3 linked regions of the Sus scrofa genome follow. The protein of the gene in region 1 interacts with the protein of each later gene in a biochemical or structural test. Links are inferred from orthologs where the notes say so. Each region holds a gene or a part of one and is shown on either strand. Other genes may lie near its edges.

Evidence for each region.
Region 2: the proteins of GTF2I (region 1) and USF1 form a complex in vitro, tested with the Homo sapiens proteins (2 studies listed by BioGRID). The link is inferred for Sus scrofa from reciprocal best matches to the Homo sapiens genes GTF2I and USF1.
Region 3: the proteins of GTF2I (region 1) and HDAC3 form a complex in vitro, tested with the Homo sapiens proteins (2 studies listed by BioGRID). The link is inferred for Sus scrofa from reciprocal best matches to the Homo sapiens genes GTF2I and HDAC3.

The regions. Positions count from the first base shown.
Region 1 is NC_010445.4:11,703,983-11,709,257, forward strand, and holds the start of GTF2I (general transcription factor II-I), read left to right. Parts: upstream 1-2,107; 5' UTR 2,108-2,488; exon of another isoform or gene 2,489-2,898; intron 2,899-5,275. UniProt on the Homo sapiens protein: Interacts with the basal transcription machinery by coordinating the formation of a multiprotein complex at the C-FOS promoter, and linking specific signal responsive activator complexes.
Region 2 is NC_010446.5:89,393,408-89,398,613, reverse strand, and holds the start of USF1 (upstream stimulatory factor 1), read right to left. Parts: upstream 3,315-5,206; 5' UTR 2,919-3,314; intron 2,851-2,918; exon of another isoform or gene 2,568-2,850; intron 2,551-2,567; exon of another isoform or gene 2,389-2,550; intron 1,311-2,388; 5' UTR 1,226-1,310; coding exon 1,218-1,225; exon of another isoform or gene 1,203-1,217; intron 855-1,202; coding exon 805-854; intron 648-804; coding exon 532-647; intron 231-531; coding exon 129-230; intron 1-128. Other genes in the region: ARHGAP30 (rho GTPase-activating protein 30), read right to left, coding at 5,185-5,206.
Region 3 is NC_010444.4:143,284,108-143,289,357, reverse strand, and holds the start of HDAC3 (histone deacetylase 3), read left to right. Parts: upstream 1-1,936; 5' UTR 1,937-2,024; coding exon 2,025-2,079; intron 2,080-2,187; coding exon 2,188-2,270; intron 2,271-3,571; coding exon 3,572-3,714; intron 3,715-5,250. Other genes in the region: RELL2 (RELT-like protein 2), read right to left, coding at 1-5, 371-554. UniProt on the Homo sapiens protein: Histone deacetylase that catalyzes the deacetylation of lysine residues on the N-terminal part of the core histones (H2A, H2B, H3 and H4), and some other non-histone substrates.

The DNA of each region.
Region 1 (5,275 bases):
GAGTTGGTATCCAAAATGGCTTGGAACTCTGGCTCACAATCAACACAGCATCTGCACCAATGAGGTGAGGGAGAAGTTGGCTAATGAATGGCCACAAGGGTACCAATAACAACTAAGGTGGTGAGCCAGGCCTCAGGGAAAACGGAAAATGCATATTTTATGATTGTAAGACAAGAATTTGAGGGTTACACCTGTCAAACAACCTTATGCGGAGAAAAAAGCTTGGCCTCCACATGCTGTGTTCCTACACCATTCACTGCTCCACGCCCTGTTCATTGTCCCCAAAGGGCCAGCTTTCTGTCTGGAAGCAGTTCCAAGCCAGCTAAAGTTTTAGGAACAGCTTTAGGATGTGGTACATTTTAGGAAGTGCTTCAAACTTGGAGGCTGCAGTTGTTCATGAAGCAGCAGCGGAATTTCATACCGACCTGCCGAATTCATAAAAAAGGAAGGGACTATCTCCTAAATTAAGGTTTTGATGACGACCAGGGTAACCCTAAGTGAACTTTTGCCTTCACTTTCCAGTATCCTTCCAAGGCAATTCTGTTTCTCCTTCACGGCCAGTGCATCCCAACCTCCCCAGTCTTCCCAAGAAACGGGTCAAGACTCCAGTTCCTCCATAAAACATACTCACTAATGTTCACAGCACCTGAATGTTTGCAGCTGGTAGGATGGCTGATCTCACCAGCTAAGTTGTAGGCTTCTCAAGAGTTAACGTTTGTTCCTAATATGTCAGTTGTGCTTGGTAATGGGAAGACAGAATTTAATCGAATATTCCGAAATGATAATGAAATATGAGTGCAAAAAGAAAACTGCTCTTATGAAAAACTGAATTAACGCTGTGGAGACTTGACAAAGGAGAGTCATAATCAAATTAGGGAAGAAACGACATGACCGTAGAAGATTGCAGGGGAAATCGGAAAAAACGTACGCGAGTCTTCTGTCATCAGATTGCTTCGGAGAGATCTTTAAATTCTCCATCTATTTTAAAGAAACCCACCGTGGAACTTCTAGATGAGGAAAGGGTGCGGTCTACGGAAGAAAGAAGACGGGGAACGCCAATCCGCGAACCCAAGTTCAAAGGAAAGGTTTTGGACCTACATCAAAAGACTTGCAGCTCGGAAAGTTTTCTCGCGAGCGACAAAGGCTGGAGAAAGCGCCGTGGTCGCCACCTACCGAGGAGGAGGGGGAGGGGGATGATGGCCGGCGTGGCCCAGATCGCCGGTGGGAAAAAAACATCGCAAAATCACTCGATTTTGTGCTTTAAAGAAACATCTAAAATCTCTGGGCCCGAGTTTTAAAAACTTCTAACTTGAGCGTACACTAGCGTCTCACCATTTTCGAAATTCACGAGCTAATCAAAGTTGAGATGCAAAAAAATTACCGGGGGGAGGGGACGGCTTAGCGGTTGACAGAACACAACGGGCTGCAAATCACGTTTTCTGCTCCCCTCCTTGGCTTTTCCTCCTTAACTTCCCTTCTAAATGTTAAGAAAAAGTGAGCAAAGCCTAAGGGTGGGGTAAACAAAAACAGAAGGGTGCTCTTCCCTCGCCCGTCCAAAGTTGGGGCAATAGCCCCTTTTGAGGCAAGCTTTCAAAACTAACAGTTCTTTGTGTCCTGGAGGGTGGTGCAGGGCGGAGAAGTCCCTTGGCTGAGCCTGGGAGGAGGCATGCCGGCCTGGGGAGCCCCGGCCTTTGCAGTGTTCCGACCTCTCAATTTGCAGGGAATCTCGGGGGCAAGAGTGAGTGCGAGCCTTGAACGGTGGCTGAGGCCGGCTGGAGCGCGTCAGCAAACAGGATGAAGCTCCCCGCGGCCTGGATTTTCACCCCTGCGCCCCAGCTCCCCTCCCCCACTCGGGCGGCCGCGCAGGCCCCAGGTGCAGCCATGTTCTCGCTCCCACCACCCGCGCCTCCATTGACAGTCCTTGCCCGAGAGGGCCGGGCGCCGCGCTCGCCGCGTCCTCCGGCTCCGGGCTTGCCGGCGCGAGGCTTCCTGGGATTCGTAGTCCAGCGCTCCCGCCGTCGCGTTGGTGGGGACGAATCAGGGACTACAACTCCCGCTGGGCGGCACTGCGGGTGCGCACGCGCAGCGCGCCTTCGAGGAACAAAAAAAAAAAAAAAAAAAAAAAAAGAGGAGGAGGAGGGTGAGAGAGGAGCTGGGAGAGCAGAGAAAAGGGGCCACCGATCGCCCCCCCGCTTCCCCGCACGCGCTCTCTAACCGTGGCCGCCCGTCTGCCGCGGTTACCCCGGCCTCTCCCTCAGTCCCCTGTGAGCGGATCTAGGAGCTGAGCGAGGCCCTGCCCGGGCGGCCATGCGGCGGTGACAGGAGCTCGACCGAGACGCTTGGGCCCCTCGCCCTCTCACCTCCTGCCCGCTCGCTAGCCCGTCTCAGCCCGAGGCTGCTCCGCTGCGGTCGCAGTTTGCGCGCGGCCCACGCTCGCTTCCCTTCGGCACCCCTGACCCCGGCGCTGCCTGGAGGCGGCTGCACTCGGGTGAGTCCCTGTCGCCTCATCCCCAGTTCCCCGCCCTGGTTGCCATCGCGAGCAGAGCCTTTATTTGAGACTCGCCCCCTCCAGGGCCTGCACCGACAGGGGTCTGGGCATTGCCGGCGCCGGTGTTGGGGCCACTGGCCCCCCCCACCCCCAACCCGTCGGCGTTGGGGGTGGGGCAGGAGCAGACGCGGTCGCGGGGGACGACAGTTGCACGCGCGCGCCTGGGCGCGTGGGGGAGGGGTGCGCGCGCCGGCTCGGCTTGGGGGGGGGTCCTCACGCGTGAGGCCCGCGCGCGAGCGAGCCTGAGGGCTGCGCATGCCCGGCCCCTGATTGGCCGGCTCAGGCGGTGCGGGTGCGCGCGCGGTGCCAGGCCCGAGCCGTGGGGTCGCGCTCGGCCTGGTGTCTCCGGGGCTCGTGCGCCTGGGCAGCAGACGCGCCGGATTGGCCGGCGGGCGGTGGGGGCGGTGCCGCGCTGCCTGGTAACTGCGGCCGGCGGGCGGGCCGTGGAACGCCGCTGCTCCCCGCTGCCGCCCCTCCCCGCCGCTGCCCTGCCCGCGCCCAGGTGGAGCCGGGAGTGGGCTTTGTCCCGGCCCGGCCGGCGCGCCTGCCCCGCGGGGCCTGCTCTTTGGGGGAAATAAACACAATGACCGGAAGGAAAACCTCAGCCTGCAGGCCATGAAAATAAGCCATCTGGGTTTGGCCAGCACCCAGACGGGGGTTCAGGGGAAGACAAAACACTGCCCTCTTTCCCCTTCCTCCTGCTCCTCCACTTGTGCTTATTCAGTTTTTGTCTTTTAAAGAGTCGAGGTTTTTTTTTTTTTTTTCTTTTTAACTTTACAGTTTTGGGCTAATTTGAATCTGAAAGTGTTCCGTTGTTGGGTCCAGTTGGAGTTAGTGCTCACTCTTCTGAATGCGGGGCTCAGGGCAGACTTTTCACCTCCAGGCATTCAACTTTGCTGCAGACAATGGCTTGATGGGCCACTGTGCCTAAAAGTAGTCTCGGTGTGTTCAGGAAAGGGGAAGTTAGTTTGCAAATGAGAGTGTGCTTTGCGGTGCCCTGGGGAGGCCGGGTGGTGTCGGTCCTCTGCCCGCCCCCGCGCCCAGCGCTAGGATTTGGCTTGGCCGATTTTATTTCTTACTGAATATTTTTGCTTTGTCTGTTTTCCATCCGCTGCATTTCTACTGCCTTGCACTTTAGTTTCGCCTGCCTCTTGGGAATCTTAGCGCACACCTGTAGGATGGAATGAGTTTTTCTTCTCTTGAGGCTGTGGATGTCTTTCTCGCTTATATGCAATCACTTCTTTAAAGCCTCTCTTAATGTTGGGTCACAATTCGTTGCTTCTTACAGTCAACTTGTTTGCCTCCCTTGGGCGGGCCTCTTTATTTTCTCTTGGATTGTGTTTGGTTCTGCTTGTGTGCACGTGCTGATCTAGTCACACACTCCTGGAGGGGTCGGGATTAATTAAGCCTTTTCCGCCTTTGTCCTTCTCCCCCTTCCAGTCTGCCATCGCCAGAGTGCTTTGCTTATGTTAGCGATGGCAAACGATTGAGTTATGTGCCTGACATCGCTTTTAAGAAAGTATGTTTTTCTTATTTGATAGTCATAACGCTGTAACTCCATTCTGTAGGTGAGGAATAAGCCTAGTGACCTCTTGGTTACCCAGCAAGTAAACCATTACTCCAAGGTTTGAATTTAGGCATTCTGACTGTTAACCCTTAAACCAGTGGTTCTCAAAACCCAAGCAAACTTCAGCCTCCCCTGGAGGGCTTGTTAAAACAGCGTTGCTGGACCCCACCCCGGACCTTCTGATTTTGGAGGCCTGGGATGGGGTGGAATACTTTGCTCTTCTAACCAGTTCCCAGGTGCTGCTGCAGCTGCTTCTGCTCCAAGGACTTTGAGAACTATTCACTGTGGTATGAAATTAAGTGAGGGAAGTTTATTCTAGGTGCTTGTTTTTCATTACTTTAAAACTAGATCTTAACCAAAAGTAATTTGGATTGCTTACTGTGGATTGCTTGGAAAACTGATCCAGAGTTAAGAATTTTTGTTAGCTGTGGTTACCAAATTAAAAGTTTAATGTCTCCAGTTTAAAAAAGAGCCATGGATTTAAGTACGAATACAATTAGAAATTAAATAATTTTGGCCTTTTTTCACTCTCTTTCATTCATGTTATTCATGGCACAGGCAGTTGTCTCCTTCCACAGATGCTTGAAGCATCCTATTTGCACCACAGAGTCTAAAGTCTGGGACTCAGAACAGTTGGTAGTGCCTGGGCTTGGAACCCAGGCATTTGGGCCAGGAGGAGGCAGGCAGATCCCCTGGAGCTCCCCATCTCCCCCAACCCCCCAAGTTCCATGTACCAGTGATTTGGTTGACTTAAGAATATGACTACAAAGATTTGTTTTGTTAAAATGTAGGCTTTTGGGTTCTTTTTCTTGGGGCACAAGTCTCGGTGAGAAAGATTTTTCATTTTTTAGTGTACTAGAGTGCTCTCTGGGGAAAGTAAATCTCATTTAGGTAGGAGGACTGGGATTAATATACAATAATGTCTTTTTTTTGATGATCCACGGATCGATGGTACGATCCCAAACATAAAATGTAAAAGACCCTGCTCCAGGTTATTATTGTCTAAAGGATCCATAAATCAAACACTGAAAAACTACTAAAAGCTACTTCACTTTTTCTGTTTTCTGGTGATTAGCTATTTACATTGCATCGCACCTAATTCAGTTCTATCATTGTTTCATTCTTCTTTGAAAACATGAATTTTTAAAATACCGGAATCC
Region 2 (5,206 bases), on another chromosome or scaffold:
GCCTAGAGCTTTGGGTCAAGGCAGCTATAGCTGCCTCACCATCCCGTGCCACACCCCCATCCTATTGGTTCCCTTCTTCGTCTCCATACTCAGAGCTCCAGTCCCCTCCCCAGTCCATACGCCTGTACCTGGGTCATGGATTGAGTGGCAGGGTAGCCACTGATGGCGCCAGTCCCCTCAGTCTGGCCATCCAGCTGCCCCTCAGACACCTGGATCACCCTGTACATCACCTAGAGGCAAGGAGGAAAAGGGAAGAAGGGGAAGGGAGAACAAGAGAGTAAGTGCCAGGGACAGGGTCCCCAAACAAGAATCCTTCAGAAACATACAGTTAGCCATTCCCTTGCCTTTCCCCATATAGAGGTTTCAGCATAACCCCTACCCCACACCAATCTCTACTCCACCCCCCACCTTCCAGACAGTCCACATCTTCACCTCATCCTCCAATCCAGGTCTCCCCATGTGACAGGTTCAGTTACCTCCCCCATTCCCAATCCCAGATAACACCTGCAGCCACCTGGCCCCCTCCCTTACCTGGCCCCCATTTTCAGTTCGGAAGACGTACTTGACGTTGGGGTCAGGGAAAGTGGCAGCTGACTGGATGCTGGCAATTGCCACACTGGTTGGGTCCTCCCCAGTTGCCACCGCACCTGAATTAAAAGGAAAAGTCTGTGAGTTACTGCCTTTTCCTCTCTGTTCCACCTACGTGTCATTTAGAAGAAGGTTACACAAGTGATGGGCCCATGGGGTGGGGGAGAGGCCCCAGTGGGCTCTTGGTCTTAGCTCAGTTCTGTTTCTCCCACTTACCTTCCTGAATCTGCACTGTCCCCTCTTCCGTTTCAGCTGTTTTCTGCTGCCTGTTTGTGAGGGGACAAAAAAATATGGGAAAAAGTGAATGAAAAGCTCACTGGCCCAATAACATATGGCTCCCAAACTCACTGGCACTCCCAGCAGATGCTCGGTTAGGTCAGAATAACAAGAGCTAGTATTTATTTAGTGCTGAGCTAAGCACTTAACAGGCAATATCTTACTTAGTACTAAGAACAGCACTGTGTGGTAGGTAGCACTGCCTGCATTTTATAAACAGGAAACCAGATCACATAGCTAGGTGATGGAGCTGGGACCTAAATCTAGGTCTGCCTGACTCCAGAATCAGTGCTCTTAGCCATTTTGCATTCTCCCAGGCCTCCCAAACCAGACCCTACCTCTTCTTCACTCACCCCTTCATCTCTCTGTGAGGGGGCACATCCGAGGAACTGGTCCTTCTTTGGAAGTCTTCGTATCTCCTGCCTCACAGGCCTGAGTGCTAAGTCCTGGTAGAAATCAGGAAGTCTAGTGAGTCTAAGAAACTGGAAGTCTCCTCTTTCTAGAACTAGGCTCCATGAAGACACATCCAGGAACATAAACCAATCATCTGCAGGGGACAATCAGCTTTCTCCATTCTGATGCTGAAGACTGTCTACAGTGACTGAAAGAGCAATTATATGAATAGTGTTTCTCGCCCCTCCAATTATCACTCCAACTCCTGATGGAGAAGAGATAATTATACTGAAAGACTAAGAAATAACGTATTTCTGGATGGATTATTATTAAAGCTATCATGATCTGCCATGACATGGAGATTAGAAGGACCATGTTTAGACCACAGCTATCAAAAAACACAAGGTCTTGGATGTTGATGCTTCTTCCCACTTCTCAAGCATATATTGTACATCAAGAAATTCCTGTCCTCAAATCTAAGAAAGGGAAACCTGAACCCACTGGAGAACCTCCAGAACCATAAAAGACCAGATTTGGCCCTTGGGCATCATTCTACTGACAGGGCTCTTGTTTTGGGAGTCCAGATTTACCTCATTCATTAAAGACCCTAAAGCCCAAGTGTATCCTCTTCAAGCCCCTTCTATTTTATTCACTAAGCCTTCCTGTAGAACAACACAGTTGCTAAAATGTTGCCATGACAACTCCAAATCAACCAAGCCTCAGCAAGAAGAGGGAAACTCCAGGTTCAGGGTTTGGAAGAAGAGATAATGGAGGAAGAATCCATCTAAGAGGTGCCTGCCTTACAACCCTGACACTGAAGTTCTCTTGCGGCACAGCGGTAAGGATCCAGCAGCAGTTGTCACTGCAGTGGCCTGGGCTGCTGCTGCGGTGCGGGTTCAACTCCCGTCCTGGGAACTTCCACATGCCCGCCCCCACCCCCTGCTAGGCCAAAAGAAAAAAAAAAAAAAAAAAAAAAAAGACCCTGACACCCAGTGGGGGTAAGTGAGGGTGGCGGCGGCAGGAAAAACAAAGGGCTGAGAAGACAGATGCCTCTAGAAAGAAATAGCAATATAGTACAAAGCAATAAGTAATCCCGACAGGAAAGGGGTAAGATTTTTTTAAGTTCTCTACCTGTAAGGGTCTCCCAAACCTTTATCTTCAGCGGTTAAGTCATGGAAAGCCCATATCCAAAGTGTTCACAAAAAAGAAAAAAAAAGGAACTGAAAATGAAACTGTCCGGAGCAAGTAGCGCTGCAATTAAGATCCGGTCCCTAAGGGGGAAGTAGCACCAGTATTTCGGGACCACCTACCTCTCCATCCTCGAACGTACGGAGGAAGTGCCCCTCTGAAGCTTGCTGCGCTGACAGCAGAAGGAAGCAATGAAACAAGAGGGCAGGGCAGAGGAGGCGTCTCTATGGCCCACAGCTGTCAGCCGGGGCAGCCTCTGAGGACGCCCAGCAACGGGGTCAAGATACTTATTCAAATCTTAGTAGGGCATCCAGAAGCATTTCCTGAGCGTTAGGGGTATGCGACAGGAAAGTGGGATAGGATGTCGTAGCGTGCACGCTCAGGCAAAGGGGGGGGGGGGAGAGCCCTGGCTAAGTCTGGACACAAAGGGAAAATAATCAAGTCCCCAAAGAAGGCTGGCGCCTAGACCTTGCCTGAGAATGCGGCGTCTCCCTGCAGGCCCATCAAGCAGTAGGCGCTTAAGAGCTGAGCGCCGGTCGGGCGCGAGCCCAGGAGCCCGCGCCGTGACCCGTCCAGCCCGGCCCGTCACATCCCGAGACCCCGCTGCTCCGCAGAGGCAGGAATTGAGGCCGGGGGTTCAGCGGATCCCGTGGTCTTGGCCCCGCGGCCCGCGGCTGCCATCGAAGGAGAGCGCGCCCGGGGGCGGGGAGTGAGTTCGGCCCACAAAAGGGGGTAGGAGATAAAGATCAGGCACGGCCCCCTCCCTCCAAACAAAAGCTTCCGCCCCAGGAGTTTCTGGACCTAAAAAACGGAAATAAAATCGAAGCTGCTCTCCCCCGCCTGCCCACCCAGTCTCCAGACTCTCGTCGGGTCCTGCACTCACCAGCCAAGGCCGCCGCAGGCTCCTATTTCCCTGGACCGAGTTCTCCCTCTCTCGACTCGGGTAGCTCCTTGGACAGCTGATCATGCGCACTACCGGCTCACAGCCATGTTGGTGAGGGGCGGAAGTGTCTCCTCCCGTCCGCCCAGCCTACACAGCCTCTGTGCTGCCCCACTTCCGTTCGCTCCATCTTGCCGGGGGCTGAAGGATGCGAGCGTGTTGGAGGTGTTGCTGGGGTGGGGAAGAAGCCACGACCGGGGATCCTTGGAGAATGACACTGAAGTCCTAGTCGCTCTAGCAAGGACGGAAGAAAGACGACTAACTTGGTGCTACTATTTTTCTGCTGGACAGGGCCTTTTTAGCTCCAGGAGAAGGGCGTGAGAGAGGCCAGCTTGGATCAAGCGAGGGACATCGGATGGAGGCGCCATCTTTAACAAGGGCTCTTTGGGAGGCCATCTTGGATCAGTATACCTGTTTGTGGTTGCTTATTAGACATTAGGACATAGCTGGTATAAATAGATCTGGATATACTTATTTGTATTAGGGTTAGAAGGCACCTAAAGACCCTCCAGGGCTTCCAGTTTTTGAGAGGCTCACAGTTTCTGGGAGAGGCATCTTGATTCCCATTCTTTTTCAGTCAAGACCTACCCTCAAGTTGCGGGGGCGGTAATGAGACGAGTTCAGAGCCTGGAGCCAGACAAACTCGGGTCTCAGACCTAACTCTGCCACTTCTTGGCTCTGAAACCTTTGGCAAACCTTTTGACTTAATTTAGTTTCCTCATCTGTGAAATGGATTTACCTGTACCAACCTTTTAGAATTATTAAGTGGATTCAGAAAAATCAGGAGCATAGACTATGTGCACATAGAATACCTAGCCTTTACTGGCACATAATGAGCATTATGCAAATATAAGTTTCTCTTCCGCATTTCCTGACCACCATGAACCCAGCTCTAGTTTCCAGCCGCAGGTCTCTATGGCAACAACTGAGGAAGAGCACCCAAACAATAAAAGCAGAAAAGACAACGAATGGTCAAATATTTGAAAATATGATACCTGTCACTCAAGACTTTAATAAGAGTAATGAAACTCCACACTATTTACGTGTAAAAATACAACTTTTATTATGAGACATTGCCCCTTGGGATTCGTGGCCCCCAGCCTATCCAGACAAGTAGTCCCAGGGTGTAAGTGACATCATTCCCCTTCCCTGAAATAGGAAGTTATTCCGAAGGGAAAAGAAGAGGGCAGAGAGATCTGTACAAGACCTCTCTGTCTTGAGATGCAGGGAGGCAGAAAGTAGGGGAGCTAGGAAGGGAGCCTGTCCCTCCAACAAATACTACAGGGTTCAAAAAGTTTCTTGGACATGTTCCTCCTAAGCTGAGGAGCAGGAGGCGTTTAACAGCCCCAAAGTAGAACAAGGATGGGTAACTCTAGAAGTGTTTGTGTATAATAAGCTCCGATATGGCCCTGACCTCTGCCTTTACCCTGGACTTCCATGAAGAGAAGTTCATTGCCTCAGAGGATGGCAGGAACTTGGCTGGAGTTCCCCCGTCATTCTTCACTTTGAGAAACCTGTAAGTTTTTCTACCTACTCTTTGTTCCCTTTGGCCAATGACCCCACTCTCTGGGAACAGGATCTTGGTGACTCTTTCTGGAATCTCCTAAGGGATAAGTGCTTTGTGTCTGAGACAAGCTCAAGTAAACAGAGATAGTGCCTCTCACAGTCAAAGAGAAACTGGAGGGCCAAAACCTATAGGGTTGGGCACTACAGCTACTCAGGCTGCAGAAGAGACAGCTTCAGAAACCACGGAGTTTCAAGACAACTACTGTCCTCTTTGCCCTGTGGTCTGGTCCTAATCACAGTCCCTTCCCTTTCCCA
Region 3 (5,250 bases), on another chromosome or scaffold:
CTCAGCTGAAGGATGAAGGCGGTTGGCAGGGAAGTGACAAATGAGTCAGCTTTGGGGGTATATTACCTGGTGGCTTCTGTGGCTTGTTACTCAAGACCTACCCCTTTGCCAATGTGCCATCAGGCTGTAGGTTAGCATTTCAAGGGCCAGGGCAGAAAAGATGGAGAAATCAATGCGAATCCAAGACTACCATCGTGGGCTGGTCCCACCCCGCGCTCTGCTTCTCTAGCCTTGCTTTTAGGGCCGTGGACTCAAGAAAATGTTACTAGGCCTCTTGAAAGTTTGGGTGGGATGTGGCCTGGGTTAAGAGGTGTGGGGAGAAGGGTGAGAGAGAAAAGGGACTGAGCCAGGGTCTAGGCTGTTCACTCACGGGGCTGCAACTGGGTGTCGTCAGGCTCCGAGCCCCTCGAGGTGCGGCAGCGGTAGCCCTTCTTCTTGAGCACGTGGCAGATCATGAAGCCTACGAGGCCCATGAGAAAGAAGACCAGCACAAGCAGGAAGAGCATGTACAGCCCATGTTGGGGCGGCTCCAGGTCAGGCTGTGGTTCCGACATGAGGCCCTGGGGGGCGAGCGCGGGCCAGGGCGCCTCCTGGGGCTAGGGGGCTGCAGCTAGGGGTTGGGGGGAGGGATAGGAATGCCATCTTCAGGATCCGTGACAGCCAAGCTTCTGCGGTCTGGCCCCACCCTCTGCCCAACCAGGGAGCTGTCCGGGCCAGGGGTGCTGGTCCAGGCCAGGGAGGGGTGCCAGATGGAGGCTGCGCAAACCCTCTTCCACTATCCTGGTCCCGCTTTCCCGACGCCCAGAGCGTTCCCCTTTCCATCTTGTCCTGCGCTTCCGTCCCTCCCAAGGACACTGCAGAGCGAGATGGGACGGAATTCTCAGGCGGCCGGCGCAGGGATCCCTGCCTGAGTCAGCGTCCACACCTCTGCGCCGGCCTGAGCCAGGCCTCCGCAGCTCACTCCCCTGACTGTACTATCGCACACACACCCCCTCCCGCCTTTCGGTTCTCCCCATCCTGACCACCTGGCCCACCCGGTACCGGTGATTTGGTTCTGGCTCCGGCTCCGGCTCGGGTTCCGGCTCCAGGGGCGTCCTAGTCCGGCTCGGGGCCCCCGACGCCCTCCCGGCGCTCATCCCTTGCTTCCTTCCCCTCCCCCCTTCGCCGCTTCAAGGGCTCCGGGCTGCGGCTGCAGATACCGGTGCCGCGGCAGGCGGGGGGAGGGAAGGATGGAGAGGGATGCGGGCTGGTCGGGACCGGCGACAGGCTCCGGACTATACCAGCGCTGGGAAGGGAATGAGATGGGGGGCGCCGCCGCAGCAGCCTTGGGTTCCCAAGCCTTCGACCGTCGCCCGCCCGGGACCAGGGGGCGGAGCACAGGTGTGCGGGGCGGAGAGCGAGAGCCTTGCGCGCTTGTGAGCGCAAGTGTGGTGCGCGCGTGACTGCGCTGCCCCCCTTCTCCTCCGGGGGGGTGTGCGGCGCCGAGTCTGGGTCCGGGTGAAGAGGACAGTCAGTCAAGCGAGGGTGCTCTCCACTGGTCAACCGGGCACGCCTGGCTTGGCTCCTGCCCTCGGATGCCCCGGCCGGCTTGGGTAGCCAAGAATCTTCCCAGCGGGCCGCGGGAAGCTGGCTTTCCGCATGGGAGAGGGACAGCACGGCCGGTTATCAGGAGCCTCCTAGAGAGGTGACACGGCTTGCACCCGGTTTGGGACAGGTGGCTGGACAGAATGGTTCGGCTTCCCGAGGATTTGACCCCCGCCCGGAAGAAAATGGCCTTCGCATCCTAGGACCAATGCGCGGTCCTCCGGCCAAGTCCAGACACTCAACACCCCATAACCTAGAACCGCCAAGCAGAGAGGGCGGAACTCCGCAGGGGGCGTGGCCTGGGCGTGGCCTACGGGAGGCGGGCTTGGGCCTCCGGGTTCCGCAGAGACTGGCTGCGTGCTTACGCAGCACGCACGACCGGGGGTGGGGCTGGCGGCCAGGCTGGCGGCGGAGGCGCGGGGCCTGGTCCCGCTGGCACCATGGCCAAGACTGTGGCCTATTTCTACGACCCCGACGTGGGCAACTTCCACTACGGTGAGGGAACAAGGTTGTATGCGAGGGGTTTCGGAACGCGGAGGTTTCCAGGGCGGGGCTACAGCTCCAGGGATGGGAACTGACCCACTCTCTTTTCCCACCCCCCAGGGGCTGGGCACCCTATGAAGCCCCATCGCTTGGCCTTGACCCATAGTCTGGTCCTGCACTACGGTCTTTATAAGAAGATGATCGTGAGTCTCGCGGCTTCTGCTGGGGATGGAGGGTGGGGGCGAGCTGCGGCCCTAGGGATAGGTAGGCTGGCTGCCCTGAACGCCCCAAGAGCGACCCACCTCCAGCGTGGGGAGGGCGGGATAGAAGGAACCAGGAGGACCCCCGTATGCAGAGTATTGGTGGGTGCATCCATGAGCTTAATGGGAGTTCCTTTTTCACTTTAGGTCGGCCAGCCTTTGACCTCAAGTAGACAGGTCATGGCCTAGAGTTGGGGTGGAGTGGGGCTGGTTTGAATACAGAAAGTGTTTCCCTCGCCAGCATCTTAGAGCAGTTTTGTGGCCTCAGCAAAGGGAAAGGGGCTGGATCACTGTATCTGAATATGAGATTTACCCCCACTGGCACCCCTTTTCCTCTGCCACACCTCTCTCCACCTCCAAGGGGCTAGAGGACTCTGCAGCCTGTGTGTAAGTGTGTATGTGTGTGGGGGGGACCGTAGGAGATGTCCTGGGTATTCTCTTTTCAACCTGGAATCCCCCCCCCCCAGTTCTACTAATCACTACCCATCCCTCCATCGCCAGGATATGCACATGCTCTCTGTCCCCAGCTTGGAAGTTATAGATGTGATATGTGATTATAACATGTCGCCTTGGCTCTTATGCCATTGCAAGGGGAATTAGTCAACAGTATGAATGGGTGCCCACCAGGCTGAGGCACTGACAAGTGATTTGGCCGTAGAGGAGGCCGAGGTGATGTTGGTGCGTGAATCTCAGACTCACTTGAAACTGTTTGCCAGTTTGTGCCCTTTTCTGGGAGAGAAAAACATTTTGTTTGGTTTCTAAAGAAGCGTGTGAGTCCCTCAAAAGATGGTAAATCTCTGGCTTAGCACCTGGGCATCTGTTTTTAGTTAGAGGGTTGTTATATGTTCCATATTATTTGACTCCAAAATTAAGAACTCAGAGGAGAGAGAGGACAGAATCAGAGCTCTGGGGGGATGACTATGAAGAGAATCAGGAGTAAGAGATCCAGGGATCAGGGCAGGTTGAACGGGGTTACGGTTCGAGAAGGTAGGAAAGGCTGGGCTGGAGGTTGGAGGGAAAAGGCGAGCCGCATGGTCTTTAGGGGGCTTGATCATTATAAACGACCGGGCTAATCAGTCTTTCTTCCTCATCGAACTTTGTCTCATAGAATAACAAGGATTCAGGGGCAAGGGGACTGCTGTGTGTGGTTTTGGATGGTCCCCAGGGCTGGGTTCGGGGTGGGGGTCTCAGCCCAACCAGTGGGACTGACCCTGCCCGGGTTCTCCTTGTGTTTCCATCCCGAGGTCTTCAAGCCGTACCAGGCCTCCCAGCATGACATGTGCCGCTTCCACTCTGAGGACTACATTGACTTCCTGCAGAGAGTCAGTCCCACCAACATGCAAGGCTTCACCAAGAGCCTGAATGCCTTCAACGTGGGCGATGACTGGTGAGGGGGGACTGGGACCTTTGGTGCCAGGCATTTCAGCGAGAATACTCGAGTGGGGCCTTGTGGCTGCAGTGGGAAGATGTGAACGCGCCAGGGGAGAGGATACTTGTCAGTGAATTGTCGTTTACTCATTTGTTTATTCAACAAATATTTATTGGTCATTCGCCCTGGGCCAGGCCCGGTGCTAAGTGCTGGGGATGCAGTGGTAAACAGCAACGGCAACACAGTTTCAGTATTGCATTTGTGCCGAGTCCTCCGAAGGAGAGGTACCCGACAGGCTATGAGGGTTTAAACACGGGAGAACCATCTAGCCTGGGCGTGGGCTGGAGGCTTCCTAGAAAAAGTCATAAAGGTTGAGCTGAGATCGGAAGGAAGCAGGAGGTAATTAAGTGAACGGTTGCTGGGAGGATGGAGGGTAAGGGGAGGAAGGTCGAGGGCAGTCGGGACAATGTGCGAAGGGCCTGGGGTATGACAGAGTGTGACTCATTTGAGGAACAGAAAAAAAGCCACCCGCAAAATCCGAAGAGCGATCTGAATTGAGGCTGAAGAGAGAGGCAGGGCCTGTAACAAATAAACGGCCTTGGAGTTCCTGCTGTGGTCCAGTGGGGTAAAGATCCAGCGTTGCTGCAGCAGTGGCACAGGTTGCAGCTGTGGCTTGGATTTGATCCCTGGCCCAGGAACTTCCACATGCTGCAGGTGCAGCCAAAGTAAATAAATAAATAAATGGCCCGACTGTGACTTGGGGTTTTTATGTCTAGAGTAGAGGGAGGTCATCAAAGTGCTTTAAGAAGCAGGAGCATGATTGGACAGGACCTTCTGTCATATGGTTTACGTTGGGCTTAGATCATACGAAGTAGACTCAGAGGTGGGCCCTGTGGGAAGAGAGCGGATAACGAAGAGAAGTCTTCCTCCTTGCTTATGTTCTCGCCTTCATCCACGAAAATACACTGACCACAATAGCTACCACTGACTCAGTCCATTTTTAAACTTATTAGGGAAAACATTGCTGAAAGTAGAAGGTACAGTGTCCCCCCACATACCCGTCACCCAGCCGTGACACTCACACCAAGTGCTAATCTTACGTCATCTATATCCTCTCACCTTAGATTCTTTTGAAGCAGATCCCAGATGTTACAGCCTTTTATCTATAAGTACACTCTTTTTCTTTCCTTTTGTTTTGAGGGCTGCTCCCTCGGCACATAGAGGTTCCCAGGCTGGGGGGTCAAATCGGAGCTACAGCTGCCGACCTATTACCACAACCACAGCAACGCAGGATCCAAGACGCATCTGCGACCTACACCACCGCTCATGGCAACACGGGATCCTTAACCCACTGAGCGAGGCCAGGGATCGAACCTGCAACCTCATGGTTACTAGTTGGGTTGTTACCACTGAGCCACAACGGGAACTCCAACTCTATATTTTCAAATGATACTCTTTTTAAAAATGCACACACTCCTGAAAAGTTAACAGTAAGTCCTTAGTATCATCATATATGCAATCAGTATTTAAATCTCTCCAATTGTCTGGTAACTT